2 linked regions of the Caenorhabditis elegans genome follow. The protein of the gene in region 1 interacts with the protein of each later gene in a pairwise test. Each region holds a gene or a part of one and is shown on either strand. Other genes may lie near its edges.

The links.
Region 2: the proteins of K08C7.1 (region 1) and akt-2 interact in a two-hybrid assay, tested with the Caenorhabditis elegans proteins (one large-scale study listed by BioGRID).

What each region holds. Positions count from the first base shown.
Region 1 is NC_003282.8:10,647,790-10,664,313, forward strand, and holds K08C7.1 (MFS domain-containing protein), read left to right. Parts: upstream 1-9,022; 5' UTR 9,023-9,213; coding exon 9,214-9,241; intron 9,242-9,285; coding exon 9,286-9,372; exon of another isoform or gene 9,373-9,508; intron 9,509-9,542; coding exon 9,543-9,651; intron 9,652-11,124; coding exon 11,125-11,484; intron 11,485-11,654; coding exon 11,655-11,844; intron 11,845-11,890; coding exon 11,891-12,076; intron 12,077-12,178; coding exon 12,179-12,271; intron 12,272-12,324; coding exon 12,325-12,441; intron 12,442-12,718; coding exon 12,719-12,844; 3' UTR 12,845-12,996; downstream 12,997-16,524. Other genes in the region: fmo-1 (Flavin-containing monooxygenase), read left to right, coding at 14,258-14,414, 14,532-14,775, 14,826-14,961, 15,142-15,582, 15,633-16,052, 16,101-16,205, 16,251-16,349.
Region 2 is NC_003284.9:14,142,190-14,158,926, forward strand, and holds akt-2 (Serine/threonine-protein kinase akt-2), read left to right. Parts: upstream 1-5,510; 5' UTR 5,511-5,517; coding exon 5,518-5,612; intron 5,613-5,815; coding exon 5,816-5,924; intron 5,925-6,816; coding exon 6,817-7,017; intron 7,018-7,060; coding exon 7,061-7,180; intron 7,181-7,404; coding exon 7,405-7,602; intron 7,603-8,073; coding exon 8,074-8,265; intron 8,266-8,375; coding exon 8,376-8,504; intron 8,505-8,551; coding exon 8,552-8,914; coding exon of another isoform or gene 8,915-8,959; exon of another isoform or gene 8,960-9,191; coding exon 9,192-9,371; 3' UTR 9,372-9,779; downstream 9,780-16,737. Other genes in the region: ceh-89 (Homeodomain-only protein), read left to right, coding at 1-11, 58-111, 1,184-1,273, 1,317-1,454, 1,511-1,639, 1,991-2,002; ceh-90 (Homeobox domain-containing protein), read right to left, coding at 12,926-13,057, 13,716-13,787, 13,833-13,928, 13,983-14,069, 14,539-14,592, 14,636-14,770, 14,819-14,824; lgc-25 (Acetylcholine receptor-like protein cup-4), read right to left, coding at 16,681-16,737. UniProt on the Caenorhabditis elegans protein: Acts downstream of PI3 kinase age-1 and kinase pdk-1 in the daf-2/insulin receptor-like transduction pathway. Essential role in regulating developmental arrest at the dauer stage.

The sequences.
Region 1 (16,524 bases):
AAGTTTGATAAATACGTAATGATGTTGCAAAGTTTATATTTTTCAAGCTCAAAATGTCAGTTTGCCAAGGTCTAGACAAAACTGCCAGAAAACTATGTAAAATTTGTTAGTTTCACATTATATGTTTTTTGTTCGGAATTTTTTTTAAACCTGTAACATTCGCAGATTTTGCGTTTACTGTACTAGCAATTGCAAGAGTTTTAAACCAAGGAAATTCCAAAAATGTTCGATTTTTGTGCACCCCTGATGATTGCACTCAAATCATTATAAATTCAGTTTAGTTATTTATGTATCCGTATTTTTTCAAATCAAATCACAAGTTCATACATGATTTCAAAAAAAAACGATGGGTGTTCTTTAGATCTTAGAATACACTCTGGGATCTCACACTTTTGTGTTCTGGCTCCGCAATACAAACAAAGAAAGTATCATCTTATGATTTTTTAGAATAAAGTGCCTGAATCTCCAAAGTGAAAATCAGTATGACCTTTTAGATTACTGGAGTTCCTTATTTTTTCGATTTTCCTTTTTGAAAAGTGCTAAGCTCATCGTATAATTAAATGGCTCGACGGAGTAAGCTCTTTGCCTCCCCCACAAATAAATTGTGGTAATAAGGAAAAGACGAGGAAAGTGAATCAGCAAATTTTGATCGAAATAGAAAGAGAAGCGTTAATAGATCGAGAAAAAAGGAAAAAAAAAAGTTTTTGTCTAAATGAGGGGCTGATGTTTGGAATTTGAGATACGATGAAATGGGAGCATCTGATGAAGAAGGACATGTGAGTGAACACACCACTTTTTCCTGTTTTTGACCACAGTTAAGTAGTTAAAGACGTAGATCAACATTAATTACAGATGAAAAAAGTTTAGGTTTTTAAACCTTAAGCTTTTAAGAAAAAATAATTGTTTTCTAGAAGTTAAAGCATCTAACTTAGAAGTTTATACGCAAAAAACAGGCCTAACAGTTTTTAATTCAAGACGGTTAATATTGGAAGTTACAAAATGTTTTTCAAAAACGAAAATACGTATGACAAGTTATGTTCCAGCTCATCAATTTTGTTTTAAAGAGAGATATCTCCCTACTTTTTTCAAAATTTATTGCTCATCATGTATCAAACCAAGACACAAAAAGATCCCTGGCATTTGTCGGTCTATCAATACGTGCATTCCACCAAAGAACGTCTAGACTTTTGGGATCCCAAGGGGACAGAGAAGGGACAAATGATGATTAGGATAGAGGAAAATTTTGGGGTAGACCAGGCTTCTAGCATTGATCAGTTTGGTTCTTTTGGTATTTTCGAAACGAATACAGAAAGAATAGCCGTTTTGTCTCATCATAGCTAAAACTTGAAAAAAGCTGTAAGTACAGAATTTATATTTTTTGTAATTTTTTCAATGATAAATGATCGTAACTTCATATCAAAATGGTTTTGTAAATTTTTGGTCAAGTCAGAAGTTCTTAAACATTTCATTTTTGAAATGTTCTTGAAATAAACATTTTTTGAGCATCACACCTTAAAGCATAATGTAATTTTTGGTAATGTTCCGCTTCTTGCACATATCTACATCGATGTAAATAAGATGTGCATCTAAGTATAAGGTTTCGCGAGAAATCTTTGAAACATTGAATCTTGATTTTTTGACTTATTCAACTCGAATTTGTACTAAATATTAATTTTTTAAACTATGCCATAGAACTATTATGTTGGCTGGAGATTTTAATTGTTTCTGAAAAAAACTCTAATTTTTTTTTGCAAAACGTTTCGGAGCAAAATTGAATTTTGGAAAAAAGTATCCTTATAAGAAGGGAGTGGATCAGTTTTTACTCTGTTTTAATTTGTGATTTTCAATTTCAGAAATTCAATTTTTGCATCTAGAATATTTGATCTACATTTTCAATAAAACACTTTTAATATGTCCTGACGCAAACCTACAACTTATCAAGTTTCCAACTTGCGATCGTTGAATTTTGATGTACTTTTTAAAAGTTTCAACAATAGTTATAACGGAGAACAAAACGGAACTTCTGACTTTAAAGTTTTTCAACTAGAAATAAAGCACGAGATATCCTTTACAAATATAGAAATGTGTTTTAACTTCCGCTTTTTGCACATTTGTCAGAGAATTTGCACCTAAAATGGAAAGTTTCCGATTTGCATTTTCGTGCTTTCTATTTCTCTATTTCTACTCTCATTTTATGAAACCACTAGGATGCATAAAAAGTCATGACATTCGAGATGTACAATCGAAATCGGATACTTAACTAGTTTCTGTGTACTTTCGAGACTATTTTGTGTGAAGCCAATGTGCTCTTTAAAAGGAGATATTTGGAAACAACGGGACAAATATATTAACTTTTGATAAAACCGAGGAAAAATTCAGAAAAATTGAGTGAGAATTTAATTTTGCAAAAACAGAAAAAAAAGCTAATTTTCATTGAGTTGGAATTTTGCATTAATGCAACTCATTTAGAAAGGTGTGGTGGGAAAAGCTGAACGAAAAGCGAAATTACAGAATTCGAAGATGCAGTATTTCAGAGATTTCTTCAACAGTTGGGTTTTCTGCAGACTCGTCAAATAGGCCAAAAACCAAAGAAAACGACAAAAAACACGTTGGTGGTTGTTGAAATGAAACATTTGATCCATTCTCATTCGTCTTATTTAATCCCTACCTCCTTATTTCGCCTCGTAACTTTTCTCTAAATTTTTTGATATATTTTGAAGACAACAAAGAGCAAAAGTAGAAGAAAGCTATTTAGAAAAATATACGCAACTTTATACATGTTTGACTTTTTTACATACTTTCGAGGTTAACAAAAGAAAATTATCATTTGCCGGAAAAAGTCTAGATTAAGCAGTTCTGGTTTTATTCTGTATTCACTGGAGGACTTGCGTTCAAATTTATGAGATCCTCTGAAAAATTAATTATGTCTTTAACGGGCTTAACCTTACTGACTTACTGCTCAACCTACTGAATACTAAAAACTTGTACAATATATTTTCAGCATTTTTACAAAGTAAGTATTGAAAAAATGTTCAGTCATGCGAAAACTGAAAATGACTGCCTCTCGTTGCCCAATATCTCTTAAATTTTCTCTCAAATTTTGGGTTTCCAATAGTATCAACAAACTATGAAGCCTTTATGACGAAACTATGACAAATTTCCACTGAAAAATTAAACAATTTAAAATGATGCAAATTTGAAAATGAATTCAGGAAAGTTGAGAAAGGAGAATGCAGAAGGTTGCAAGAATCGTCAATTCGCGGAAATTGAAAATGGAAGACACAGATTACTTTGGAGCAAACCGACGCTGTGCACATTTGGGAGAAAAAAGTTCATCGGAAATGGAAGAAGAAGGGCGTCTTCTTTTTTCTCATACTTTTTCAAAATGAACTTATTTAGAGCTTTTTTGTTCTTTTTTTCTATTGTTATTTTTCCAAAAAACTTCATTTTAATTTCCTAAGTTTCCTGATTTTCCGAGAAATTGTTTCGCACATTTGCAATACAATGTCTCCTACATGATATTTGCAAAATTGTAGAGCCAATAAGTTAGCAAATATAACAAATATCCTCCGTCATTTTCTGTGTAAACTCTTAGATATATATGTGTTTAGTGGATCTCAAAGATGAGAAAGAAACGATGGAATTGGGTTCGGAAATCGAATTTTGAACGTGCAGTGTTGCACATTTTAGATGAGGGTCAATGGACAAAGTACTGGGATTTTTTTTGTTGGATGAGGGCTAAAAGTTTTTTTTGGAAAAAAGTTTTTTCTGCCGGCACGTGGGGTTTGCAACATTTGGAAAATTGGGCAAAGATCCTAATGGTGGTATCAAGGGATTTGAAGAGACTGTGATTATAGGCTTAAGGAAATTTTCGGAGGGTCCTAATGTAGTAAAACTGAAAAAAAACGTAAAGAAACAGTGTTCCTTTGACACTGGGATTTGTTTAAATTTCTAAAAGTAATCTTGTTTGCAAAAAATGCCTGCCTACCAAAATTCGTAGCGACCTATTTCAAGTTCCCCTGAACTTATAATTATAATATTTGAATTGAATTTTCAATCAATTAATTAAAAAAGAAAAAAGTGAAAAAGTGTTAAATCCAAAAAATGCAGAAAAAGAAGGAGACCGCCATGTCTATAAGAAGGCATAAGGCAGGTTATGTTTATTTTGAAATTTCCTTCTGTTGAATCCAAATAAATTTCTAAAAAGGACCCTGAAGGACAAAGTTTTAAGAATGTTTCATGTTGAGAATCTAGGCTAAAAATCATTTTATTTAGTGAAACACCTCATATTATAATTTCAAATAAAACTTTGTAGTGCAACAAAATAAGGAAATACAGCTAGACACAAACTCTCATAAATTTCCGTAATCCTAAACTCTCAGATTGTGAATGTAAGTGATCCTTATTTGGTCAAGGGTTTCTGCCAGAAATAGACAAAGTTCAAACACTAGACTTACCTTTTGATATATTCTTTTTAGTTCTTTTGAGTTTTCAAGAAATAATAAAAAGTGTTCACAGAAGAAATAAGAATTGTTTAATTCTAAAAGTCAAGGAGTCTTCAAGTCCCGCCCATCGTAGACTACCGTAGATTCCAAAAGTTCATTGATCAGATAGAGGTGTCCCAAAAAAAGAAGTGGAAAAATGGGAGGAGTCTTCTTGACTTTTCTCGGAAAACAAAGAAAAAAGAAAAGTAAGAAAAATAGAATAATGAAAACTTGGCTCCTCTGATATATTGGAACGAGAATAAAAACTAGGAGGTGGCAGTTGAAAATCAAGACACAAGGAAATAGGAAATGCCCCGGTTTCCTGTTTTTACTTTATATATCACATGTATTTGAGTGCTCATGTGTTTAGTAATTGCATCAAAACATATATTTACGAAACTGCATATAATTAATTTGATATCGACTAGTATTTTTGAGATTAAAATGTCTACATTCAATCTTTAGTCCAGTCTTTAAAGATTATTTCCCCAGGTGAACCTTTTATTTTAGGCATCCACGTTTTTTTTTCCAAAATGTTAGTTAGGAAACTCAGAGCAAAATTTTGTAGCACAACACAATAAACCAGTACTTTTATCAGATCAATTATTACAATATCTTCAATGTGAAAATATCTAATTGAATTAGAAACAAATTTTATTAACACATTCGGCGTATTGTTTCATTGCAAGAGACCACTAAGCGAACAAAAATAGCTTTTCTTGAGCTCATTAACACATTCTTGTCAAAGAGGAAGTATTCTAGTTGCCACGTCAACAGATGTCTCACGGAATATGAAAACTTCAAAAAGAATGGAAATAGACACTACGAAGGGCCACATTTTCAGACAAGAGGAAAAAGTTGCCGAAAATCAGATATACCGCTTTCTGTGAGTGGAAAACATTGTGTACTTGTTGTTATAAGAAATAATTCCACATTTTATTTATTTAATCACATTTAACCGGAAAGCCTTAAATAAAAATAGTATTGTTGAAAAAACAAGGCAACGCTTGAAATAAAAAGTTCATATCCCACAAGGCAATTTGTTTTTCCTTACTGTAAAATTGGACCAATTAGATATTCGAATAAGTTATTAGTATTATTAGTATTAATATTTTGATTTTTTTTCATGTCGTTCGGTGCTTTATAAGGTTTTTTAGAGTAGGATATTTACACATTATCTTTTCAAAATAAATTCTAAACGTTTTTTCACCAAAATTTTCAATAAAAAGTTTTCTAGTTATTTTGGCACTGACACGTTGAATGCATTTGAGATTTCAGCTGAAATGATTCCTTTTTTCAAAACTTCAAAACTAGAAAAAATTGAAAAAACGTTTCAAAACGTCTCAATACCAAATGAGCCTTTTGGACTATAATTTAAGTCCAGTGATTTCCAGTTTACATATTATCAAAGCAATCATAGTGACGTGTATTTGTTTATAGAAAGCATATTACTTACACCTAGACGAGAACCTACACCTTTGGTCTTTTTTGCCAAGCTATTATAGAAAAAGAAAACATCTTCCAGCCAGCTACAAACTGAATCGTCATCAATGCTGCAAATTATTCACGAATCACACGCTTCTGATATATAATCTCTGACACTAATGCTGACTACACATCCTGTTGGCTCAACTGACAAGACGTTTTAATTTACGATTATGACTTGAAAGTCTTTGACCTTGGCGGATCTATGGTATATTGGAAAATATATGGAAAAGAGTTCAGAATTTTCGACAATTTCAGTTTAAAAAAAGACAGCTTATTCTCTTATTCCCACTCACCTTCGATTTCTTCTTAACTTCTCTCGAATCCACCGGTGCACTCTGCGACCGCTCAACCGCGATCCAATGTCGATACAGCTTGACTTTTAGTTCTTAACCCTTATCTGAAATCGCAATTAATCAAAAAATTAGTGACAAGCACGAGGATGAGTTCAACTCTCCACCACGGAAAAATTTGAGTTCAACTCTCCACCACGGGAAAATTTTTTGCGAATTTTTTCATCCCAAAAAAAAAGGAAAAAAAATCCCATTGATTTGTCTACATAGGGCATCGAAAAGCACCCAATATTTAGAGAGTAGAAGATTTTGAGAATTACTGCCTTCAGAAATTGACAATTTTCCCATTGATTTGTCTACAAGGGGCATCGAAAAGCACCCAATATTTAGAGAACAGAAGATTTTGAGAATTACTGCCTTCAGAAATTGACAATTTTCCCATTGATTTGTCTACAAAGGGCATCGAAAAGCACCCAATATTTAGAGAACAGAAGATTTTGAGAATTACTGCCTTCAGAAATTGACAATTTTTCCATTGATTTGTCTACAAAGGGCATCGAAAAGCACCCAATATTTAGAGAACAGAAGATTTTGAGAATTTGGATATTCAGTCAGAAATAAAATGTTTCGCTTGACTGAGCTAATCAGTCGCCATATTTTCCTGATGAGCACTGTGGTCGGTCATGGTGTGGGGAAGATCATATTCAAGGAAAATAATTGTTGCTGTCATGTGGGAAGAAAATGACGAGAAGCTCTACTTTCTCGGACAATATTGTGGAAATTTTCTGTAGAAAAAATGTAGTGTGTACACTCATTAAAAGTGCGCAGTTCTGTAAAGTGACTTGCAGAATTCTCCCACATTTCTTTTTATTTTAAATCTTCCTTCAAAAACTTCTTTGTATTCCATTTCCTGTGCGGATATTTTCAGAATTGAATTGTCTTCACGAGACTCCAATCTTCCAAGAATGCTCTTTAACAAAATGATTGTTTGAACTTGAAAATTGGATGGGTGTTGGACTGAACCATCAAAGATTTTATAGTTCTCTATGTTAGTGGAGCAAGAGAAGAGAGCAAGGCGACTAAAATTGAAATTGAAGTTTGCAAAAAGGGAAATTACCACGAATTCTCGTCAGTGCAGAAGCTCTTACTCATGATTACAATTGTCTGGAATATTGAAGAATGAAACAAAAATGATGGGAAATGGATTTGAACTTTTGTGGTTTGCTCCGATGCTCAAGATGTAACGGGAAAGATACCAGAGGTAGTGGAAAAGTGCAATTTTAGAGTGGAGAAGGAGAAAAGTTCATTTAATATTTTCAAACTTATTAATTTTATACATACATTTACGTTTCTAAAATATAGATGGGATTCAAAAATACAATTTCTAAACAACTCATACCATTCTTTTCTACCTCCAGGGAGCCTGCCTCGTGCCTTTACGGATGCCTTCTTTCAAAGTACATTTGTAGCTTTTGTCGAATTCCTTCTTGACCCTCAACAAAATTAAAACGCGAGTATTAGAAACAGTGGAGTTCAAGCTCAAATGCAGCATATACCTTCATATTTTTAGGGGTATTTTCCGGTTATAAAAATTTGTGAGTATTGTATAACTTCGCTTCAACTACACAACTTATTAAAAATTTAACTTTTTCCAACGTACGTTTGAGTACCTGTTGAAGCAGGCATAAAATTGCAAAAAAAGGAAAAAAAATACTTCTCACCTTTTCCATCTTTTATCAGTGTACTAATCAAATATTTGATTTCTTGAAAACAATTTCAATGATCTTTATTTTGTTGAAATTATTGTTTCTCACGGTCTAGACTAATTGCATACCAGATTTTCTGAGAAAAGTGAGTCAACTGACTGAAAAAAGTCTAGGAGACTTGTAACCTTGAAAATTCTGATAATATTTCTCAAACAAGGGATAAGTATTCAAACTGAGCTTTCATTGCAAAGGTTTTTGAGACAGATTACAAAGAAGTCATAAAGTTTTCTGATAATTACAAGATTTGAAGATTCTACCCAATGCGTCTCTTCTATGTGATACAAACTCTTTAAAAAATATTTAAGAGTGACTTTCTGGTTATCGAAAAGTTTCGAAAACAGACAGGAAATTTCTGTTTCATGAAATTTCCTATCTGATTTGATCAGAGTGGTTGACTAGGTTTTTTTCTTCAAAAACAACTTTTTGATTACTACCAATCCTCTTACCAAACTTTTACACTTCCTTTCAAACCTTTTTAGTTGCAATTGGCACGATTGATAACGCCCTGACAAGCTTTTGCAACTAGATTCGAGCTAAAGACAATCTTGACACCATCGTGGCGAAATTTTGACCGGAACTTGGCCATTGTTGCCAGACAGTTGTCGAATGTTAGGAAGCTTTTAAAATGTTTACCAATTATTTAGGATTGAATGATGATAAGATTATATACCGCAGACAAAAATTAAAAACTTTTTGAAAATAGTTATATTTTATTGGTTCAAAGTATTCAACAGTAGCAGCAATGGACCTAACTTTCTATGGTTGAGATCTTTTTACAATGATTCATCTATTTTGAAATTCATGTACTTTTCTCAATCGAACTTTTGAAATGTCCTGTATATTATTAACTTGTCAATAAGCCCAACGGTCATCCACATCACCACATATTCTTTTTTGCACATTCGAACATCTGTGCACACCAATCCTCTTTTCATCATTCACTCTTTCTATTTCAATTCATCTCACCCCATTTATCTCTTCGTCTCTATTCTCACTTATCTTTATTTGTTCGTCTATTTCCTCTCGTTTTCCTCCTTCCTCCATCATATTTTGTTCATATCAACACAATTCTAATATCTAAGTTTTCATTTCAATTTCTAGCCTTTTGATTAGAAAAACTACAACCGTCATCATTTGAACATTCCACCACAGGCAGCAGCCTCACTATCTGTTTGGCTTCCCTTCATGTTTCCGGTTAGATATTTGGTTTATGGTAAGTTTAAGACGTCGTGGTTTTATATTCTTCTGAAAGTTCAGGGCTCAGTACTTCATGCATCACTCTACTCTATGCACTTCGTCTCTCATTCCATTCTACAATAATATGTCAATTGGAGAATTCAACTGGTCAGTCGGTTAGCTATTAAAATCATTGGTTGATTATTCGTTGTTTGATATCATTTCAATCAAAATGACAGTTCCTCTTGTGAAATTATAACGGTTGATAGTGAACAAGAAAGAACTGGTCATTCTCTGATCTTGGAAGCTAATCAACTTTAAAATTTCTAAACTTGCAGACTCATTTCTTTTCGATGAAGATCTCAAGCAGTTTACGTTCCAGTCTGTTGGATTCGGGTTGGCTGTCGGACTTATTCCACTACACTTTCTGAATTTTTTGGGTACAAGGTTTGTAATGGGAGAATTGTGGAGGTTATTTATTACATAAGTGTCTAGAGACGACAATTTAGGTTTTCTCTCACAGGCAAAGCGGGTACGGTCCGTTTACGGATCTTGGACCGGGAACGGACCATTAACGGGTGAACTACGGATATGAAAAGCGGGACGGACCAATTACGGGCAAACTACGGGGAATGTAAAAAATGGCCATTAAGAGGAAAAAATGGATTTTAAGAAAACGATTTTTCTTAAATACCTATGATACCAGTTGGCTAATTCAAGCATTTTTACGTCGTTAAATGCATTATTTAGAGCAAAAACCATATTTACCGACCGAGATGGCTCTTGAGCCGTAGTTGGGCCGTTTCCGGTCCGTAGACGGTCCGTCGCCGGCCCGTAATCGCATGCGATCTAACTGAGGCTATTAAGCATGACATTGTGTGTAAAAGCGGTTATATTAATGTAATCCTATAAACATATCAATAAAAAGATGAAATGCCACAATTGGGTAGATACTGTGTATACGCAACGTTCACTCTCTCTGCTGGTCTTCTTCAGCTGAGCAACAGGAGCATTTTTTGAAATATCATAAAATATTTTACTAACAATACATTCTGGAATCATATCGTTTCTGTTCCGTGTGTATTTTTAGAAATTAAGGTATTATTCAAGTAGAACGCATATACTTTATTTCCTCTATTAGTATTGCAACTCGGTCCAATCGAAAATTAGTCTTGCATGCAAGACTAATAGAGGAAATATGGTAAGTACCATATCTGTATTACAAGTAGATGGAGCACGTATAGGTAGATGTTGAGAAATATGCGAAATAAGTTCTGAACTACACGAAACTGTCAATTGTTATCGTTCGCTTTCATATAAGTCCAACGGCAAGATGGAGAATCAGAAACTACTGAAAATACAATCGAAAAAGTTGGTGTAAGACGTGAAAACCAGAAGAAAATGCGCGAGCGCGAGCTGATCGCTATTTATGCGAAGTCTATTGATTTTCCTCGCGTGCGCGAATGGCCAAACGGTAAGGTGATGGGCCAGTAATCAATCGACAGGCAGTGGACAAGTTCAACCCCGGCTGAGGCAGATAGAATTGGTACAACGAAGGATCACCGGAAGACGGTCTGGAGCAAGACCGGAGCTCGGGGGAGCATTGGGAAAGAAAAAGGGGGCAGCTGGAGGGTGAACAAATTTTCCCATTTTTTAGTCTCCTCACGGTTCAATTACGGTCCGTTGACGGACCGGGAATCGAACCGTGAACTGTTCTTAAATTTGAGCCGTTCCCGGTCCGTGAACGGACCGTTTTGGGCACTTTCCGCTTTGCCTGTGTCTCATAACATCTTTTCACTATTTTTCATTAATATGTAGTACAAAAGATTCAATTAATTTTATTGATTTATGTAGTAGTTCTCGTTTCAATACACAATTTGTTGTTGATACTCATTTAAAGCACACCTTCATGTTTTTCAGAAATGTGACCATTCTGTATGGAATCGTTGGAATTATCGCTGCTTTATTCTACCCAACAGCTTATCATCTTGGATTTTATCCGTCTTTCATCACTAGATTTTTTCAAGGAGCACCACTTGGAATTCTCCTTTGGCTCATTGCAAAAGTTGCAACAGAATGGACACCAAAATCTGAGACAGCTATTGCAATTGCAATTTTGACGTCGGTGTATCAATTGGCTCCGTTTGTAGCACAGATCACTGCAGCTGAGATGTGTCAGTATTTTGGATGGGAGTACACGTATTACTTCTTGGCAGTTCTTTGTCTCATTTCACATGTTGCATTTTATTATGTGTATTCGGATAAGGTTGATGATAACAGGTAGGTTGCTGAAAGTATTGCAAAGTAGGCTCGCAGGTAGGCATTGGACTACCTAAAAAAAAAATCTGATACAAAACTATCCCTTGATTATCCATGAAGTTCATAAAACGATTTATGACGTTTTGTTGTTTTCTTGCAAAGTTTCTAGTTAGTAGTTTAACTATTTACAGGCTTGCAACACCGGAAGAAAAAGCTTTTATCACTGAAGGGAAAGGCAAAACTACAGCCCAAGGGACTCCAGATGTTCCTTATAGACAACTCCTTCTTGACACAACTGTTTGGGCCACATGGTTTGCTAATCTTGCATTCTTCTCATCCCTTTTAGTTTTTCTGCAATATGGACCACTGTACATGAACAAGGTATGTTTGGTAAGATGTTCTTTAAATGATCAACAAACATTTACAGGTTCTCGGATTTTCTGTTCGAGTGACCGGGTATTCCGGTGGTTTGGCTCACGTGTTTTGTTTGGTTGCTAAAGTAATATTTGGGAAAATTATGGACAATAGCAAAATGGATATGACAAAACGATTGAAAGCAGCATGGACTTTTATAGAGATCCCATCTCTTGCGCTTTTATTGATTTTAATTTTTGTGAGTTGACTTTTCTTTTTTAAATTAAAATTATTTTGCAATTCCCAGAACATCCCTCGAACGCTTCAAAAATATAATTTTATTTGAATTAAAAAGTTTTAGATTCATGATGCTTACATTCAAATGATTTGCATTGTCATCTTCATCACAATCCATGGAGTTGCCATTATTATTATTGTGAAAACTCAAACTTATGTAAGTTTGCTCTTCGTTTCCATGCCCTGATTGCATAAAAGACATATTTTCAGAGATCAGCGGAGCACAACCACGTGCTTGCAAATGGAAATACGCTTTGTGTCGTTTTCAGTACATCCCTTCAGCCTCTACTCATCAAATTTTTGGTTCAATCGAACACGTTTGAAGAAGTATGTGACAATTCCAAAAAATGTATTATCAGTAAGAGTCTGGTCATGAGAATGGCTCAGGTAAACAACAAAATGTGCTAAGCGATTCTAGTCAATGGCAAGAATGTAGGCAATACGAACATATGAGCAAGTCGGGCAGTGCGAAAGATCACAAGCAATTCAATCAGTTTTTGGTCTGATAAAAAAATCTGGAAATGTATTTTTGATAACTCCGAAATGTATTTTTCAAATTTTCAAAATTTAAATTACTTTAAATTTCTATCGAATTCATTTTCAGTGGTCCCGAGTGTTTGGTCTACATGCTATCATAATTCTTATCTCTGTGATCCTCTTTGTCTGTAACATAGATGCCACCGCCGCCAAATGGACAGGAATACGAAAAATTCAAAATGAAGAACCATAATGGTCACTTTCTACTTTGGTATTGAATATATCATCGGGTTATCATATTATCGTGTCTCACAACCACCTGCCAATCTATATAAATTTCACTTTTTGGTTTTTTTTTTGGTGACAAACTACAATCATTTCTTATAAAGATATTAAAAAATAATTAGACAGCAAAATATACAACTAATAATCAACACATGGATATTATAATTTACAGTAAATATCATCTGTAATTTTGAAAGTATTACGCAGATTTTTACAACCACGGTATCTATCGATATGTTTCATAAAAAATTTGTAATGGCGTCATTGCAAATTTCTGCAATATGTAAAAAATTACATGTAACTACAGAAAATATAAATCTGTATTTACGGTTTCTCAGAATTAAAGTTTGCACAGACACAATGTTTCAAAATAAATTATTCCCTGTTGGCCTGATTGTGATTTACGAATTATCAAAAAACGCTCGACTGCATGCCGCCTTTCCAAAATTAGCATTTTCGTTGGAATGACGATAGAAAATTAGAAAGTTCATGACAAGGTTCACCTTAAAATAAAGTTTTATATTTTGGAATTTGCTTTTGTTCACCCTATTTAATAGTGAACTAAAATTCAATGACTCAGTGCATGTTCTGATGTTACCTGAATAAAATTATTGTTTTAAACACCTTTACCCAATTGATAAGAATTGATGAACTTGATAAAAAAATTCGAAATACGAGGAAAAGAAAACTATAGCCTAAATGTGCCTAGTTGATGCTTCAACTCAAAGTTCTAAGACAAAATGCACTCTTCGTTAAAGTCCTAACTGTAGACTATTTGCATTGGTTAACTATGCGGGTGTTCTTTTTTTTGTTAGCTTTGCGAGAAAACGTCTTACTATTAGATATTTGATGTGTTCATTGTTCAGAAGTTCACTAGAAAGTGAAATATAGTTAAAATGCCTTGTATAGAATTGATAGCTTTTCAATAATTGTCAATGAAGTCAAAAAAGTTCTAAGAATATACAATTTATCTTTAAACACATTGAAACGTGGCAAGCAATATTAAGTATGTTTCGTAAATGTTACAGGGCTCACGTATAGTTTTGCTCAATCTTTAAACGCCGTGCTCGTTGGAAATTTCCATGACTCGGCAGTCATATTTTCAATAACGACCCACTTTATTATATGCTCAATGGAAAACATATGTTAATGATAAAATTTCATGTTTCTCTTACCTATTCTTTAAATTTCAAAACTCACTCTACGACCTACTTCACCGTTTTCCGACTCCTCCCTCTTCCACCTTGTGCTCTTTTTTTTTATTATTTGTACAACTTCTAGTCTATTTGCTTTTGTCGCCAATCAGAACCGATAAAAGAACGCGGTACCGATTACCTTTCCCATTTAAATCAGTTTCAGCATTAACGTTACTATTTTCTAGATGGCTCCAAATAATAAAAAGCTGCTCATTGTGGGAGCCGGTGCATCAGGGTTGCCTTCTTTGAGACATGCATTGCTCTATGGAATTGATGTAACTTGTTTTGAAAGAACAAAGGATGTCGGAGGATTGTGGCATTATAAACCACAAGAGACGGAATGTGAGTGTAATTTTTCTAAATTAAAGCGTAGATTTCTAAAAATTAATAGCGGGTTTATTTTGTTATTTCCAAAGAAACACTTTCAATTTTAACCAAAAAATCATCAAAGATTTTCAGTGTCCTCTGTCATGAAAACTACCGTTATCAACACATCAAAGGAAATGACGGCATATTCGGATTTTCCTCCCGAATCAAGAATGGCAAACTTCATGCATAACACAGAAATGTACAGATACCTCTTGAATTACTCGAAACATTACGAACTCGAAAAACATATAAAATTTAATCACAAAGTGAATTCAATCGATCGAAATGAGGATTATGAGAAGACCGGAAAGTGGAAAGTTAATTATACTGATGAGTGAGTTTTGGAGAGTTTGATGAATCAAAAAAAAAGTCGAAGAATTACAGCAAAGGAGCTACCCATGACGCTGTCTTTGATGGTGTTATGTTGTGCTCGGGACATCACACTACACCAAATTGGCCACAAAAGTTCCGAGGACAGGATGATTTCAAAGGACGGATTATTCATTCACATAGTTATAAAGTAAGAAATTTTAATAAAAAAATTTCAATGACTTATCAGTGATTACGTAATCAATATCAGAGTATGCGCATAGTATCAAGTGTGTTTCGGTGTTGGTTTCGAAGCCAAGATAGTTATTTTCTGACACTGGAGAACCATTTCTATAATTTTTTTCTATCAAGAAAACTAGACAATTTTTAGGATCATCGTGGCTATGAAGATAAAGTAGTCGTTGTAGTTGGAATTGGAAACTCTGGAGGTGATGTTGCTGTTGAACTATCAAGAATTGCCAAGCAAGTATACCTTGTTACTCGTCGTGGAACATGGGTGTTCAATAGAATTTACGATTATGGACAGCCAATCGATATTGCAATGAACAGAAAATGCATCTCTGATCTGAGATCTTTCGTTCCAGCGTGGCTCACGAATACAGTTGTCGAAGCCAAACTGAATCAGCGATTTGATCATCAAGCATATGGTTTGAAACCAAGTCACAGAGTTTTTGGAGCTCATCCGACTGTCAATGATGAGCTGCCGAATAGAATAGCTTGCGGAACCGTCAGGATTAAGCCAAATATCTCAAAGTTCACTGAGACTGGGGTCCTTTTTGAAGATGGGTCTTTGATTGAGCAAGTTGACGAGGTGAGATATTTATTGGACCTCTTTAACCTCTTTAATTCATCCTAATTCAGATTGTGATGTCTACTGGATTCTCATTTGAATTCAATTTGGTGGAAAATGGGCAACTGATTAGAACTCATGACAATCAAGTATCCCTTTACCAGTACATGTTCCCAATAGAACTTGGAGATCACAACAGTCTTGCAGTCATCGGATTGGTCCAACCATTTGGTTCCATTATGCCACTATCTGAAATGCAAGCGAGAGTATATTTAGAGGAGTTTACTGGGAATCATGTTCTCCCAAAAAAGAATGAAATGACTCAAAATGTGCACGATAAACTTGAAACGATGGCAAGAAGATATGTAACAAGTCGTCGACATACTATTCAAGTGGATTATGTCGATTATATTGAAGAACTCGCGAAAATGATTGGAGCCGACTTGGACATGAAGAAACTTTGGAAAGAGGACCCATGGCTAGCTTACAAGGTATTTAAAAATTTAATTACTTCGAAAGTTTTTTGTTCAATTTTTCAGGTATACTTTGGTCCATGTGTTCCGTATATTTATCGTTTGAAAGGCCCACATAAATGGAATAATGCAAGAGATGCAATTATGTCAGTTGATGAAAGAGTTCTTATGGTAACCAAAATATATTTAATCCGTTCGTTCAAAAATGAATTTCAGGCCACGAACGATCACGCACAAGTGGCTCCTGACTATACATTGCTGTACATCGTTGGATTAATTTTTGCAATTATTGCTGTCTTTTACATCTTGTTTTAATTAAATTTAGGGTGCATCAATATGGCTTTACTGGACTTTTTCAGATGAATTTAACAGTTTTACAAATAAAACAGATTTTTTTCGAATCGGTCAATTTTTCTGAATTTTTTATTTTTGATCGGATTTAAAAACTTTAGAGATCCTTAAATTTTGAAAATCAATAATCCCGATCCAC
Region 2 (16,737 bases), on another chromosome or scaffold:
ATCTTCCGAACGTATGATTTGCATCACAAAATAGTCACACTAATATAAAAATTGCAGAGAGCTTGCAAACTGAAATCACTTCCAGCTACAACAAAGTCACATTCGGATTCAGTAAGTTTTTACTTTCTTGTAAAAATAGAAACCGTTAAAAGATTTATCATTTCTAAATAATAACTTGCAAAAGCGCCAAACTAGAAGGAGCCAGAATCCTGTAGTCAAAAAGCGTATTTCATCTTCATCGTCTTCATCTTCGTCTCGTTCGAAGTCTTCTGATAAGTCTAAGAATGTATCAATTCCAGAAGTAAGTTGAAACGTTAACAAAAAGTGCTTCAAAGCAAAAGAAATCATAATGTTAAGTCATCTTTTTTTGTTCATTCTAATTCATAATTCTAATTTTAAATTTGAAAATTCAAAATAAGAATCCTTAAAAACATGTTTAATAACGCTTCAAATCATTAAAATTTAAAAATAGCTAGAATTGTCCTAGGAGGTAGTAGGACAAGGAAATAAGGCCAAATATTTATTTATGAATAAGAAGAAGGGGGGAAACAATAGTGTATATTCTTGGGGAACTGACCGGCTCCTTTTATATGGTCTCTTAATTCGATCAGCAGGGGCGTGAGGAAGCAAGGGAATATGGTAATAAAACATTTTCTGGGAATGTGAATTCGAGGGAATATGGGAATATGGTAATAAAATATTTTCTGGGAATGTGAATAGTCAGAATATTATGGATCAAACATTAAGAATCGCCTTCGATGCGACAAGAATCTTAAATTTTGCCAATTTTACAGTATCGCAGCTGGCGGAAGGTGATTTTTATGTGATTTTTGTTAATTGAAGTATATTTTATTTTTCTGAAAACTTACTGTGTACTAAAAACGTGCTTAAATTTAAAACAAACGCTGAGTTATCAATCAAAATAAGAAAAAAAATTTGTTAAAGATTGGTTTCAGCTCACTAGAAAAATGACAAATATAATAATTCAAAATATTCCGAGTTTAATTAGACCAGAATATAAATTTCACTGTGATAAAAAAAAATCAAAATTAAGATACACATAATTTTTGCTGATCTTGAATCATTTTTTCAACTGTTTCATATGCTTATATATTTAGCTAAATTCTAATACATTCAAATAAGAATGTTTGAAGAAAACGTTTGAAAATACTCTAAATTTCAGGCAGATCAAACACTTGGAATCGAAAGATCAAGACGTGAAGATTCTTCGTCATCCGAATTATCCGAATGTTACTCTGCACAGAATTATTTGGTAACGTTAAATTGTGCTACTAAATTTTAATTTTGAGCTACAGATTCAAAACGCGTACTACTCGGAAAAATATGCTCCAGCTATCATACACAAATTGCTTCCTGCCTTTGAGGCAAACAAAAATCCAAACAACGATGAAATTTTGGAAATAATGGCAGATACAGGATTATCTCGAAAAGAAGTTAGTTTTTTTTTTTACTTTAAAAATTCTCCTTAAAAAAACTCTAACGCGTTTAGGTTCGTCGCTGGTTCCAATGGCGTAATGGCACAAACTTCAGAATTGTTAGGCCAGTGACTGAGGAGCAGAAAAAACGGGCTGCTGAACGAGAAAGAAGCAGAGCTCATTTGAAAGTGGACCTGGAACAGGTGAATCCAATACTAGAAGCTATTCCTACAAGGAATCGGAACTGTGTCGCGGGGGGAATACTGCAACTAGACGTTCAGTCATTTAAAGAGCCTGAACTAATTGTATATGGTTGGTGGCCATTTGGGACTGTGGAAATGGATGATTTCGAAACGTACGATTATCCTTGGGATGATGATGGAGAAGTTGATAGGGAATGGTAAATAACAACGGTAAATGTTTGTAAAGTTCACTTGAGATATGTTGTCTATTTTGGACAATATGGATATGGCTTTGAACAAAAATGAACTAATTGTAAGAAGAAAAACCCTATATTTTTTGATATTCTGCAAAACTAAACTTTTTATTTTCAGGACCCGATCTGAAAAAGAATTGTTGAAGAAACACCCATTGTATTGACAACAAAAAAGCAGCATTTTAAAATAAAGATAACACATTAACTATTTATCTGTCTGTTCCCCATTTTCACTGACTCCACTCTTACATCTACTTTAAGGGTCCTTTTTCCATCCTTCTTTGCAGACCTAACAAATCTAAAAAAACAATCGTATAATATCTGAATTAATTAACCTTTCACGACTTGTAATTAACCCATATTATTATATTTGCTTGGAAAAATAGGATTTTTTAAAAAATGTTGACAGATCCTTTCCAATCATCAATTTCCCATATTCACCATGTCAAAAACACGTTAAGTATTTACGAGAACTCAAGCATGCTCTGTAGAGAACTGTTTAAATTTTCCTTATTTTATGTTTCCGGTTTGCCGACCTGTTTGAGATTTCAAAGCTACAGTATTTTCAAAACGATGTTGCTTTAATACTTATGCTACATTTATTTCTCTATTGGACCTGCACTCAATAATATCAATTGAGACATACATTTCCAGTCCTTATCTATTTGTCTTACTAAAATGTGAACTTTTATCAGTCTTGCTTTCAAGTTATTTTATTCCATTTCAGTTGTATTTTTTAATAACTTTTAATATTTTTGAAATGCGCTGTTAATATTTTTAATTGATACTTTCTATTTAATTTAAATTGTTTATTCCGTGTTTTTACGTGCATTTTCGGATAATCGGCTTCCAAATATACCAAAAATTGAGTGCCTACCGATTGAAACTGTAAGCTAATAACAACTAGGCCTGTTGAATGGGTCGAGATGGGTCGACCCGCGACCCAATTTTGGGTCGGGGTCGCGTCCCCGACCCATTTTCGGAAAATGTCTGAAATTGAAAAAAAAAGTTTGTTTTGTTGTAAATCGTGTTTAAACGTTGACTCTTATGCTTGTTTGTATCGAAAATAGGATATGTTTTTTTAATTGATGAAAATACGATAATTTTATAATTTTCAGCTTTTACACGTGTTTTTTGACAAAAAATAGTTTTTCAAGTTTTTGATAACTTTCTGTTAAATTTTGAAAAAAATGGGTCGGGGACATGACCCCGACCCAAAAAGTGGGTCGGGGCCGCAACCCCGACCCAAAAAATGGGTCGGGGACGCGACCCCAACCCGGCCGACCCAAAAAAAATGGGGCGACCCACTCCACAGGCCTAATAACAACAATGCAGACAAAATATACAAAATAGCAGTATATTCGAATAAAAATTCATATCTGTCCACTGCGAGAAGAACGAGTAATTAATATGTCTTTTTTTTTATATTTTGCACGTTTCTGTTTTTGTGGTGTCCTTGTTCTATATAAAGGACTACACACCAAAAAACAACTGAATAATAGACGTTGTTGACATGCTTGTTTGTGGATTTTCAGAGATCAAATCCCACGTTTTCGGTTTTTTTTGTCGTTTTTTCGGAATCTCTAAAATGTATATTCTTTGTTTTTAGTAGTTCATATTATTATAAAAGAAAAAAAACTGCACATCTGGTAAACAATATAGAAAAAGAGAGTTGCGAAACTTCAAAAATTTGTTATTTAATGTCTTGCGACACTTAAAAAACCGGCATTTTACAGTTTATGTTGTGTTTTTTGTTTGTCGGTTGTCTTATCATCTTGTGGTTTTGGATGCATTTTTCACTTGGCAAGTTGTTTACCACTTTCTTCCGACCGCATGCTTTTTTTGCTTCGTTGGTTTTTTCAAAGTAAGACGGTTGTCATACAACAAATATCACAAGGAAATCACATATTTCACTGTTTCAACACCATGCCCATTTTACTCCAGACAAAAAGTTACCTATGTAGTTCCACTAGACGTTAGGAAATATTATACATTTTTGAAATTCATTTTTATTTTAGAGATTTCAAAATTATAGATTTTTACTAAAATTGCACGGAACGGCGGAAATAAGTAGACGAACGCCTACAGTCAAAATTCACAGGAATACCTCGTTAAATTATTCCGCTTTAAATAACTAAAATTGTATATAACATCACACTTCTACTTCCAGTGAAATACGCCTCTTTCTGCTTAAACTTTTTGTTCAGTTAACCAAAAGAATAGAGATTTGCAGCAAAGGTGGAGTAGCTCTTGTGCACGTGGTGGCAGGCAGTCCCATCACGGTCTGATCTACAAAACATGCGGGAATTTTTTCCCCCAAAAAATATGACGTCAGCACACTCTTAGCCATGCGCATTCAGTTGAAATGTCTGCGTCTAAATTCCCGCGAATTTTGTAGATCTACGTAGATCAAACAGAACTGAGACAATTTGACACCACGTGTCAGTGGAAATTTCATTATAACGCATTTATGATATTACAAAACAATAATACAGTCACTTGAATCTTTGTTTAAGGTGGTTTATATAATTTTCCCCAAGTTAAATTCGAATAATAATTTGTTTTGAAGAGAAAACAAGTTACTAAATGTTATTAAATTGTGAGCAACGTATTGCGTACATAAAATAATTTTGCTTTATACTTGATCCACCAGAATTCACATTCCCTCGTTATTTGAAAATGTTTAGTTTCACGCACATGTTTCTCATATTTCATTATTCCAGAATTTTCTTCTTTTTTTTTTTGAAAACAAATCTCGCTTTCCAAAAAAATCAATATTCAAACGCAACCTTTCTCGTGATGCTGTTGACGGGGGGAGAAATAGTGTCTGAAGTTGTTTTCGTCCTTTTTCCTGCCGCAGCAAAAAAGGTCACATCCCCTCTCTTCGCTGCTATCTCTATTTCTCTCTCATCTCTCTTGCCGGCGTTTCTCTGCTTCTCCGCTCAAGTTTTGTCTGCAATCTTTTCCTTCTGTCCTTTTCCTCTGTTTGCCACAATACGTCACTAGGGGTGTTTGTTTTTCCCATAGTCTTTCGTAGCCAACGACTATTTTCTTCTTTTTTTTTTCGTGTTTTATCAAAGCTATGAATTCTTAGTTCGTTAGATTTTTTTTTGGAGGAAAAATTGTCGTAGAACCTAATTAGTGTTGAATTAAAAAAATTAAACTTCAAAGCCTTATTGAAAATATGATCAATTAAAACTAAATTGTTATAAATGTTTCATAACCATGAAGTTCAAACTATGTTTGTAAATTTTTAAGATGTAATGGAAAAGTTGTAATATTTAAGTGCTCGTGTAGTATATCTGCCCTAAAAATTTTTGCCAATAGGGTTTCCACGTGGTGTCAGAATGTCTAATTTCGGCTTGATCTACGTAGATCTACAAAAAATGCGGGAGAAGAGACGCAGAGCTCTCAACTAATTTTGCATGGTTAAGAACGTGCTGACGTCACATTTTTGTGGCTAAAAAGTCCCGCATTTTTTGTAGATCACACCGTAGTGGGACACGTGGTTTTCCATTTTTGGGGCAGGTATAGTACATAAATACCATAATTTAAAACTACCTTTTAATTGTATTTTTTTAACGACGTATTTTTCTTTTTTAAAACAAAATCTCTGAAAGAATTATCACTATTTACAGCGTAAAAATGTCTACTGAAAACGCCCATCTACAAAAAGAAGACATTGTTATTGAAAGTTGGCTTCACAAGAAAGGAGAGCACATTCGTAATTGGCGCCCCAGGTAAGTTTTTCATTGTTTTACCAGGCCTATGTATCCAATCTAGTACAGTAGTTTTAAGTTTCATAGCTACTGTCCCTTATGAAAAGATATTCAAAAAGTTTTCACTTTAATTGCACTGAATTGGAAATGAAAATCTTCCAACAGGAAACCAAAACTAATTTGGAAATAAATGAAAATTAAATCCTAAGATGTCAGTATTTTAGGTACTTCATCTTGTTTCGAGATGGAACGTTGCTTGGATTCCGGTCAAAGCCAAAGGAAGATCAGCCGTTACCAGAGCCACTGAATAATTTTATGATTAGAGACGCAGCGGTAAGTTTTTGAACCTGTAGATGGTTACTAGAAAGTTTTCAAAATCGTTGCTTTTAAAGGTGGAGTAGCGCCAGACAATTTACTAAGTTTTTGCCACCCATTATTTTGGAAGTCGACAAAAAGAATTTTTTCCAACATTTTTTATACTGTATATCTGTTTTAATTATATCCATTGAAACATTGTAAGGGTCGGAACCAGGGGTGTGCGGCAAATCTCAAAATTTACCGAGCTCGGCAAATTCGGCAAATCTATTTTTCCATTATTTGCCGAGCACGGCCAATTCGGCAAATTTGCCGTGCTTAACAAAATCGGAAAAATTATATATTTTTTGATATTTTTTGGAGCACCGAAACTACTGAATTCTTAACACACCTCTGGTTTCTGAACAAGTTAGATGTAGTGTGTCTGCTTAAACATCAAAATAACTCAATTTGTTGTCATTTTACTAAATTTTTGGCGAAAAAATCAACAGTTTTAGTCAAAATTGTACTGTCAAATTTTTGACGTGTGCGGCAAATTTCGAAATTTGCCGCACACCCCTGGTCGGAACATTCGACATTGCTTTCGATTTCTTCAAAAACTCATACTTTTCAAAACTTTGGCAATTTGCCAAAACTTTGACCGGAAATTATGAAAAATCTAAAATTTATTGGAATGCTTCATTATGATATTCGGACATTTTGGATTATTAAAAATGTGTTTGAACAAAATCTTCCCTGGCTCTACTCCACCTTTAAGCAGAAAGTTAGTACCCCAGTAATATACATATGTAGAAATCCCTCTTTAGTAAAAATTTGAAAACCTTAGCTGAACTTCAAATAAGTTTTTAAGTAATTGCCAGTAGGCAGTTTCCATATTGAAAACCGCAACTACCAAAATGCTTTATTTCAGACGGTTTGCCTTGACAAACCTCGACCAAATATGTTTATCGTGCGATGTCTCCAATGGACCACTGTCATTGAACGCACATTTTATGCGGATAGCGCCGACTTCCGTCAGATGTGGATTGAAGCAATTCAAGCTGTATCCAGTCACAATCGTTTGAAAGAAAATGCAGGAAATACCAGCATGCAGGAGGAAGATACTAATGGAGTATGAAAGTAAAGAGATTCAAAATTTTCATGAAATTTTTTAGAATCCGTCTGGAGAAAGTGATGTGAACATGGACGCAACAAGCACCCGTTCGGATAATGATTTTGAGTCAACTGTAATGAATATCGACGAACCAGAGGAAGTTCCAAGAAAAAATACAGTGGTAAGTTTCAAAATCCTGCCAACAAATCCACGTATTGATATGTGGAAATAAGAGGTTTTTAAAGAAAGTTTTTTGAGTAAAAATGATTAACTCGAAAGGCGCAACAAGTTTTTTTTGGTTGACAGGTTGAGCGAAACTTTTTTTTCTGATTTTCCGCTAAAAATTCAAGTTTTGCTTTGTATCTCTATTATTTCTTAAATGTATGTAGTTATTTAATTTTGCAGACGATGGACGATTTTGACTTCCTCAAAGTTCTCGGTCAAGGAACCTTCGGAAAAGTTATTTTGTGCAGGGAGAAAAGTTCTGATAAGCTCTACGCCATTAAGATTATCAGAAAAGAAATGGTCGTTGATCGTTCTGAGGTGGCCCACACTTTGACTGAAAATCGAGTTCTGTATGCTTGCGTTCACCCTTTTCTCACGGTATGCTTATTGGTCGAAAAAATATTGAGTCGGTGTACAATGTTGGCAGATGTCAGTGAAAATTGAAGTAGATGATTTTTTTCGTGAAAAAATCATGTTTAGAGAGACGGATAAATGCACACTAGGATTTCAACGATGGCGCTACTCTCGCCCGCCAGCACCACAATACGCCCCACACTCCCGCCGCCCTCACAACATCGCCTTTCTCTGTTGCACGTAGCTATAGTGGCGCGAGGTCCTGCGCGGCGTCGGCAGCAGTACACAGAGTGTGATAATGCTGGCGCATGGGCGTGCCGAAGTAGGGCGGGCGTTTCCGTGGAACCATATTTTTTTTCTCTAAGAAACTCTGAAATACATATTTCCTATAAATTTATCGATTGCCATAACTTTACAAATATATCTTACTTACAATTATTTAAAATATTTGAATTCCCCAGTTGTTGACACAGTGCCACAAATATATTTTTTCAGCTACTTAAATACAGTTTCCAAGCACAATATCACATCTGTTTTGTGATGGAGTTTGCAAATGGTGGCGAGCTGTTCACCCATCTTCAGAGGTGCAAAACATTCAGCGAAGCACGAACAAGATTTTATGGATCGGAAATCATACTTGCTCTTGGATACCTTCATCACAGAAATATTGTGTATCGTGATATGAAAGTAAGTAGAAGCTTTTTGAGAGGGGTTATCACAACTTGAAGTATTTGTCAGAAATTTTTGAATTTCACAACTTTGATGTTTTTTCATTGTTTTTTCCATTGTTTTTTCAGCTCGAAAATTTGCTTCTCGACAGAGATGGTCACATCAAAATCACTGACTTTGGGTTGTGCAAAGAGGAAATCAAATATGGAGATAAAACAAGCACCTTTTGCGGAACACCAGAATACCTTGCACCAGAGGTAAAGCCTTTCAATTCTCGCGTCAAGTTATTAGTCTATTGTTTCAGGTTATCGAAGACATCGACTATGACCGTAGTGTTGACTGGTGGGGAGTCGGAGTGGTCATGTACGAAATGATGTGTGGACGGCTTCCATTTTCAGCAAAGGAGAACGGCAAACTCTTCGAACTAATTACGACATGTGATTTGAAGTTCCCGAATAGGTTAAGCCCAGAAGCCGTAACATTACTATCTGGACTACTCGAAAGGGTCCCAGCTAAGCGGCTTGGTGCCGGTCCTGATGATGCACGTGAAGTTTCGAGAGCTGAATTTTTCAAAGATGTGGATTGGGAAGCAACATTAAGAAAAGAAGTCGAACCTCCATTTAAGCCAAATGTGATGTCTGAAACGGACACGAGTTTCTTTGACAGAGTACGTTACGTTTCAATTCTTTTGAAAGTTTCAGAAGCAATATGAGTAATTTTTAGAGTAAACGATTTACAATTAGGGCAAAGTGTTGTTATTTTTAGTACAGTTTTAAAAAAATGTATGCCAACGTACATAAGATTTCATTTAGTTTTTTTACTGATACTGAAACACAAACAACACTTTGTTTAATGACTAGGATTTTCCAATTTTCATAACAGTTTTCATAGTTTCTAGAAATAAGAGAACCAATGATTCAAAAATGATATTAACATATACTCAGGAGTTCACATCAATGCCGGTCCAACTGACGCCTCCACGTAGAGGGGAAGAACTTCCGACAGTTGATGAGGAAGAAGAATTACAAGCCAACTTCATACAATTTGCGTCATACTACGTGTCGGGAAGCTTGGAACGATCTTATGATACGAACAGAAGCGCTGACAAATACGAAATAAGATGATTTTGTTTTCAACAATTTTTTGTGTTTTCTGTACGTTTTTTTCTCATTCACTCAATTTTGTCAACATTTCATTGTCTCCTTTGAAAACTTGTTATCTCTTTCATGAACTTAACAAAATCTCTTTCAAACATTTCAACCTTTCCAAAAACTGAAACTTTGCGTAGAGCACATTTCGTGTTGCTCACATCCTCTGGGCTAATTTCCATTCCTTTCCTGTTAAAACTCCCCATTTCGCATCACTTTTTTGACAATGCTCTTTTATCATGTTTTTCTGTAGTACTTGATTCATATACCCATCTCTCGGGTATATTTAAAACTTTTAAAACACAGTTCCTTTTCTTGATAACATCTTTTTCTTGATATTTTGTCGCCGACATTTTTTCTCGGGAATGAACCTTTCTCACATGGATGACTTAACAGTACTTTTACATTAAGACAAATACTCAGTTCAAGTAACAAAGAAAACTTTTATCAGAATTTATTTAGTTCAGTTTTTGAATGTCTAATAAAAAAGTGCATTATATCTCAAAACTTTCGAACATAGAAAAACGAATGCTTTTAATAAGTTGTAATTGGAATTGAAACAGATTTCGAGAAGTGAAACAATGTTCGGGGATCCTGTGGAAATCTGTCATGCCATACGAGAAAGTACATAGCAAAGTTTTCGATTAGAATAGTTTCGAGTAGACCATCACTTCTCTCAATATCGAGTCCATATGTGCAATCCACAAATTCAAGATCATCACTGAAACGACAATTTAAAAAAAACTGAATTTTCAACTGGCAGGCTTAAGTTTAGACATATGTTCCGGTTAAGTGTAAGGCTTGGGCTTAGGTTCAGGTTAGGCTAAGCATTAAAATTGAAATCAGGTGTCGGCTTAGAAAGCTTAAGTTTCGACTTAGCTTATGTGGTTTTAAAGTGTAGTTTTTCTTTTTATTTTTTCCCTGTTTTCCCCTAGATTTTAAGCAAGAATAATGCATATCAGAATGATTCCCTCCATTTTTATGACTTGAAAATTCCAGAAAGTTATTATTTGGAAAAGACCTTAATTAAACATACCAGAAGATTCTTGCTCTACGTTTTGGATTCCATTTGGAATATGATAAACCTTTCAATAATTCGCCCGTCCAATTATGCCACCAGTAGTTCAATTGAAGTCTTCTCAGTTTCGGCGAATTCCCGGCCAGCCAGTAATGAATTTACTTATTCCGTTTTGTTGCCGAGACTGTATTGAGATCATAAAATCTCATTTTCTCGCAATCCATCATTTTCAAATCGTCTAGTGTTAATCCTGGGCCTTTTTCGATGTCCAATCGTGGAATATTGGCCCACTTAAATGTGAATATGCTCATAATTCAGCAAAGATATTTTCAACTTACCAGCTTTCTATCAATCTTGTCCTTGTGTAAACAATAAGTCAGGAATCCATATTTCGAATCGAAATTCTTCAATATAAATTCCATATCTTCAGTGCCAAAGTACGAATGTCCGAGAAGTTTTAGAAAATGGCATTTCCGAAACAAAGGGTGGCTCAAAGCAGATTTGAACTCCCCAAAAAGTTGATCATGGTCAATTGCCAAATCGACATGATCGATTGAAAACAATCCGTTCAAATAATCCAAAAGACTAGTCAACTGAAAGTTGTCATAGCCGACCAAATTTAGATTGTCTACCTTTCTTTAGTGAAAATTATCAAAATTAGAAAATAAAATCAAAAGCATAGTAGAAAACTTGTCCAGGAACAGAGGAAAACTGGATTTCCATGTGCAAAAACTAAATAACCTATCTCCGCGAAAAATGATCGGATAGAGCTGTGATTTGAGATTCCATTTTGAATCATTCTATTAACTCTAAATTTAACATAAAAACCGAAACGATAGTGGAAAGTTTGTGAATTTTATGGAAAAATGCAAATTGTTCAAGATAAATGTTCATTTTTCGATTTTTGATACGATTATCCACCTTTTTTGGAAAAAAATTATATTTTTCGCTTCCTCTCGATGTATTCAACATTTTTCCAAAAAAAAATTGGAAAAAAAGCAAGACTAACAGAGATTTGACCGGAACAATGGTGAAAACTGACCGAAAACACACCAAATATGAAAGGGGGAGGTGGGTGTGTGTGTGAGAGAAAAGGGGGAATGTGCAGAAATTTTGGCAAAACTTTAATTATCGTTTTAAAAATAACGAATAGAGATATCACAATGAATTTGGATACTATGGATAGGTATTGGGAAGGAGAACTTAAGTTTCGAGTCTCAAATGTTTTCGATTGAAACTCGAATTTTCCTTCAATTTAAAGTGGTTTTCGGCCAGTACTTCGGTGTGCGCAAAAACAAGCAGGCTGTGGTTTTCCGCTTGTGGAGCCGACAGGATGCTCCAAAATCAACCCCCTTTTAGATGAACACACGTCGCTATATTTTGTGAATGTGGAGAAAAAAGAATTTCAAAATTCGGTCCAGTGAGAGCCGAGATATAAACGTTCATGACAACTTTCAGGGGTGTGGCGTAGATTGTAAAAGTGCGAAATTTCTATTGCTATTAAGTGTTTGAGCCAAAATATAATGGTGTTTTCAAATTTGAAAAATAACGAACAATGAAACATTTCACTTTTTGGAAAGACGTGAATTCTCAAAACTTCTGTAAATGTGCTGAAGTTTGTCAAGACCGGCCAAATTTGATTTAATATTAAATTTAAAAATAACAAGTTCCACTTTCAAATGGTGCTTAACTGATGTCGAAAACTTCTTTGTGTAATCGGGCCTGCGGCCCTCAACCTGAATTATTGAGCTAAGAATAGGCTTAACGTATGCCCATCACTTCTGAGTATATTCGGGCCTGCGGCCCTCATTATGTGTAACAATCTATTTTTCGTGTAACAATCTATTTTTTCGTGTAACAATCTATTTTTTCGTGTAACAATCTATTTTTTCGTGTAACAATCTATTTTTTCGTTTAACAATCTATTTTTTCGTGTAACAATCTATTTTTCGTGTAACAATCTATTTTTTCGTGTAACAATCTATTTTTCGTGTAACAATCTATTTTTCGTGTAACAATCTATTTTTCGTATAACAATCTATTTTTTCGTGTAACAATCTTTTTTTTCGTGTAACAATCTATTTCTCCCCGCCATCTGGTCCTCAATATGCATGCGTCTCTTCAACTTTCTACAATTCCCGGCGGGGTAGTATTATGAGTGCACTCCAACTTGCAAAAAACTCTGACTCCGTCTGGGTCGCGGGTCAACGCAATAATGCGGATCGGCCCTATGCCACCTCTATTACCGCAGAATGAGCACTGTCAAAATATCTCCTAGCGAATATTACAGTAACTCTTCAAAGAACAACAATAACCAATCCCATTTGTTTGAAATTTTGAAGCGCCGTGGAAAATTTTGAAAATTTTTGAAGTCCCGCTATGTAATTTGTATAATGTAATATGTAAAATCCAGTGAAAAATCAAATTTTCTAAAAACACATAAATTTTTTGAGAAGTTTTATTATAAAATGTATTACAACATCTGATTACAAAAGCTGTTTCTAAATCTACTCTACGAGAGAATATTGTCAATTGTGAAGGGTATGAATGATTTGCGTCCGATACTCTGATTGGGTGGAGCTTGTGGTTTGACAGTGAGCAGATCATTGTTGGCTTGAATAATTGGAACAATAGGAGTTGTATGCTGCAATGAAATACAGTTAGGTCATAGTTTTAGAAAAACATGACAGTTCAATTTTTTTTTTGAAAAATACACTATTTATATGTATTTGTATTCTCACAGCAAAATATGTGTTAGAGTCTGAATTAATTTTCAAAATGTTTTTAGCCGTTTAAAGTAATAAAATACTACAAATGAGACGAACATTTTTCCCAACTTTTTCTATGTTTACAATATTGAAACGTCTATCCATTAGTTTTTAAAAACCTCAAATAAAAGTTATAATTCAATTCTACAGCAGGTCCAGTCAAATTATCATGTTCTAAAAACTACGGATCTTACTTCAATTTTATGACTTTTTGTAAATATCAAAGTCTCATAAAATAAATTAACGCTTTTGGTGAAAAGTATTCAATGAGGATTGGCATTGGGAAAATTTAAAGCTTTAATCTCGTCGCCTTTAAAGTTGATCTGATTTTAATTGAATTTGTATGGTTTCAAGAGAAATATTGTGGAACAATTTAGATAAGAGTGCCAAAGATTGTCGATTAAAACTTTGCAATGCATTTTTAATATAGTACGTCTGAATGGCATCTGACAATTTGGGGTGAAATTAATAATTTGAGGTTTAGTGAGAACTCATTTACACATACCAGTTGTTCAAAACTGGAAAAAAACATACCATTTCACTGCTTGATTGCCCAACAACACTCGAAGTTTGCCGAACAGTGTTCATGTAAGCTTCCAGAAGTACCTTCAGAAGTTTCTGTATTTTAAAACTCGGAGAAAAGTAACATACCATTTTACTGTTTGACGGTCCTGCAACATTAAAAGTTTCCGGAACATTGCTTAATAGTTTCATGTTCTCCAATCGGTATTGAGCTTGCGATGACACCTTCAAGAAAAGTTTTTTTTGTATGTATTTATGTCAAAGCGAAAAAAAATATACTATTTCACTACTCGGTGGCTCGGGAACAATCGAAGATCCCAGGAGTTCTACATTGCTTCCCGATTGGCTTGTAACTTCTCTCGACATCTTCAAAATTTATTTTATACATGACAACATATTTCCAGGAGCCTAATGCGATAATGATGCTCAGCGCTACAACTTGAACTGTGTGCATTTTGCAAAGATTTTAGAATGAAGTCGAGTATGTGTCAAAAAAAACTTCAACTGGATTTTTCAATCAAACTCTCTGACACGGTAATTGTAAAATGTGATTTTTTGAGCTGTCCAAGCATAAAAATGAAAACAATAATACATTTTCAAACAATAAAAGCAGAAGTGTGATGAAACTTATTAAAATGGAAAACGTCGGCAACTTAATAATTATGAAACAAATACTTCTATGAAAATTGACTGAAAAGATTAAAATGATAGCGACAAACGCAGAGAAAGAGCCCATTAAAAATTGACAACAGGCATTTCATTAAACCCAATTAGTAACTTTCTCAGCAAAACTGATTCACAAAAATGATTCACATAAAAATTAAATTTCAACTACCTTTAAGGAAGCCTTTTTCACTTTTACTCTCATTGCCTTGAACCAGCGATTAATCTGAAAAAATAGTAGACTTTGTTTCTAAAATTTAACAACAAACCTGAGCTTCGTTTCGATTCAATAAACCAGCAAGACGATTCATTTCAGAAGTTCCAGGGTGTGAGTCTTTTTCAAACGACTCCTTCAGAAGCCCTAACTCGGCTATTTTAAAATTTTGTCTCGTTTTTTTACTCTTCTAAAAAATGAAATATGGAATTTGAAATCATCAAGTTTGCTTGCTTACCTCCATGTTGTTGCTTTCAACAAGTTTTTCGGATGGAGAATTACCTAAAATGTCGATGAAAGATTATTGAAATAAGAGCAGTAGCAAAAATTAAAATAAACTTTTAAAATATTAAGATTGATAGTGACTATCGTCCCGTGTAGGAGAGAAACACTTGAGAGTTGCAGAGTTTGAAAGTACAATGGTACTTTTTCATTATCTGGTTAATCGTACCTATTATTCTCAGAATTCTTCTTTTGGGTTTCTTCGACACCTGTCCTGGTGTATTTTCCTATCGGGTTTTCCTGTCAGCGGGTAGGATCTAGTCGGAGGTTGCTTCTCCACTAATCTTATTTAATTGGTCTATTTTTTAGGCGGCCTACATTTATCATTTGCTCCGCATCTTGTGGGCTCTGTGCACCTGCACCAAATTGAGTCTATCCTAGAGCGTATAATTCACTTGGCATCATGTATACAACGTTAGGAAACTATGAACAACCCCTATAGTAGAATATATACTACTTAAGGCCTGGAGAGTCAGAAACCGCCGGAGTGGTGTTTTTTAATGCAGGCGTATGCAGTGTCACATAAATGGAGACACATCGCTGGCAACAGTAGATACAGGGGAGACACATAGTTTTCAGGTGCATAGACCGCACATGGAGCAGGAAATGATAAACGGTGACCGCCTGAAGATATACCAATTAGATAGAATTAGTTGAGGCTTCCCCCTAAAACCTAACCGCTAGCACAGTAACCATGAGAAGCGCGCTTTTATGTGCTGAATAAATTGGTAAATGATTGCACCAGGACAGGCATTGAAAGAAAAATTCTAGAGAAAAACTGAGTTGCAAATTATCTGATTGAGAGATAGAACCATAGAAAACACTAAATACGCAGATAGGTTATCCTAAAAGTAGAACGTCAAGCAAAGCAGTAGCAAAATATTATTATGAGAAAGTACGAAAATTGTGTACAATAACTGTAAAAATAGTCATTATCCAAGCTGCTTTAGAAGCTTTTTTTTTCTTATAACGACCTGATAAGTATGCTACAGTGCCATCTCCAAAACGTTGTGTTTCTGATCCAAAAAAAATTGATCAAGTTTTTACTATAACCAGATTAGTAAAGATAAACGTGCGACGGATAAATCTGAAACGATGGATAGCGTTTCTAATAGAAACGAGTGCGGCTCAATACTAACTACTCGAAAGAAATATTGGTTCCTTGTTAGTGAGCAACGTCAACAATGACAATTAACTCATGTGACTTGCTGAAGTATAGCTGCATATCAGTTTGATAATAATCAGAATGTTGAATAATAGTTGAGTTTTCGTACTAGCTTTTATTTAAAGTTAGTATGAAAAATTGTTGAGAGCTGGTCTAATTTCTTTGATCTCACCCTTGCAATTGTACTACTGATTACATTTCGTTTGTCCAAAATCAAAGGTTGGGAGCATTCAACAAAAATACTTGTTCGGAAATTCTGGTGTCGGGCTGTCTCATTACGGTTTGATCTACAAAAAAATGTGTGAATTTTTTTTTCAAAAAAAAAAAAAAGTGACGTCAGCACGCTCTTAACCATGCAAAATTAGTTGAGAATTCTGCGTCTTTTCTCTCGTTTTTTTTTGAAGATCTACGTAGATCAAACCAAAATGGCACACTCTGACACTACGTTAGATCCTTTATTCAAATCAAGGTGAAAACTGTTCATAACTAAACGAATGATTGGGAATACAAGCTACTTTGATCTGCCAATTTCAAATATTGTAAAAAAGCCCAAATAAAACAAGTGGAAAATCAAAACCAACACCAACTTTATTGAAAGAAAAACCTCAGGCGTGAAACACGGAAATTATAGTTGAGAAGAAGACGCCCTAAACTTAGGTGAACAGAACTAGAAGAAATGCAATAATATGAATGAAAATAACTAAACAGAA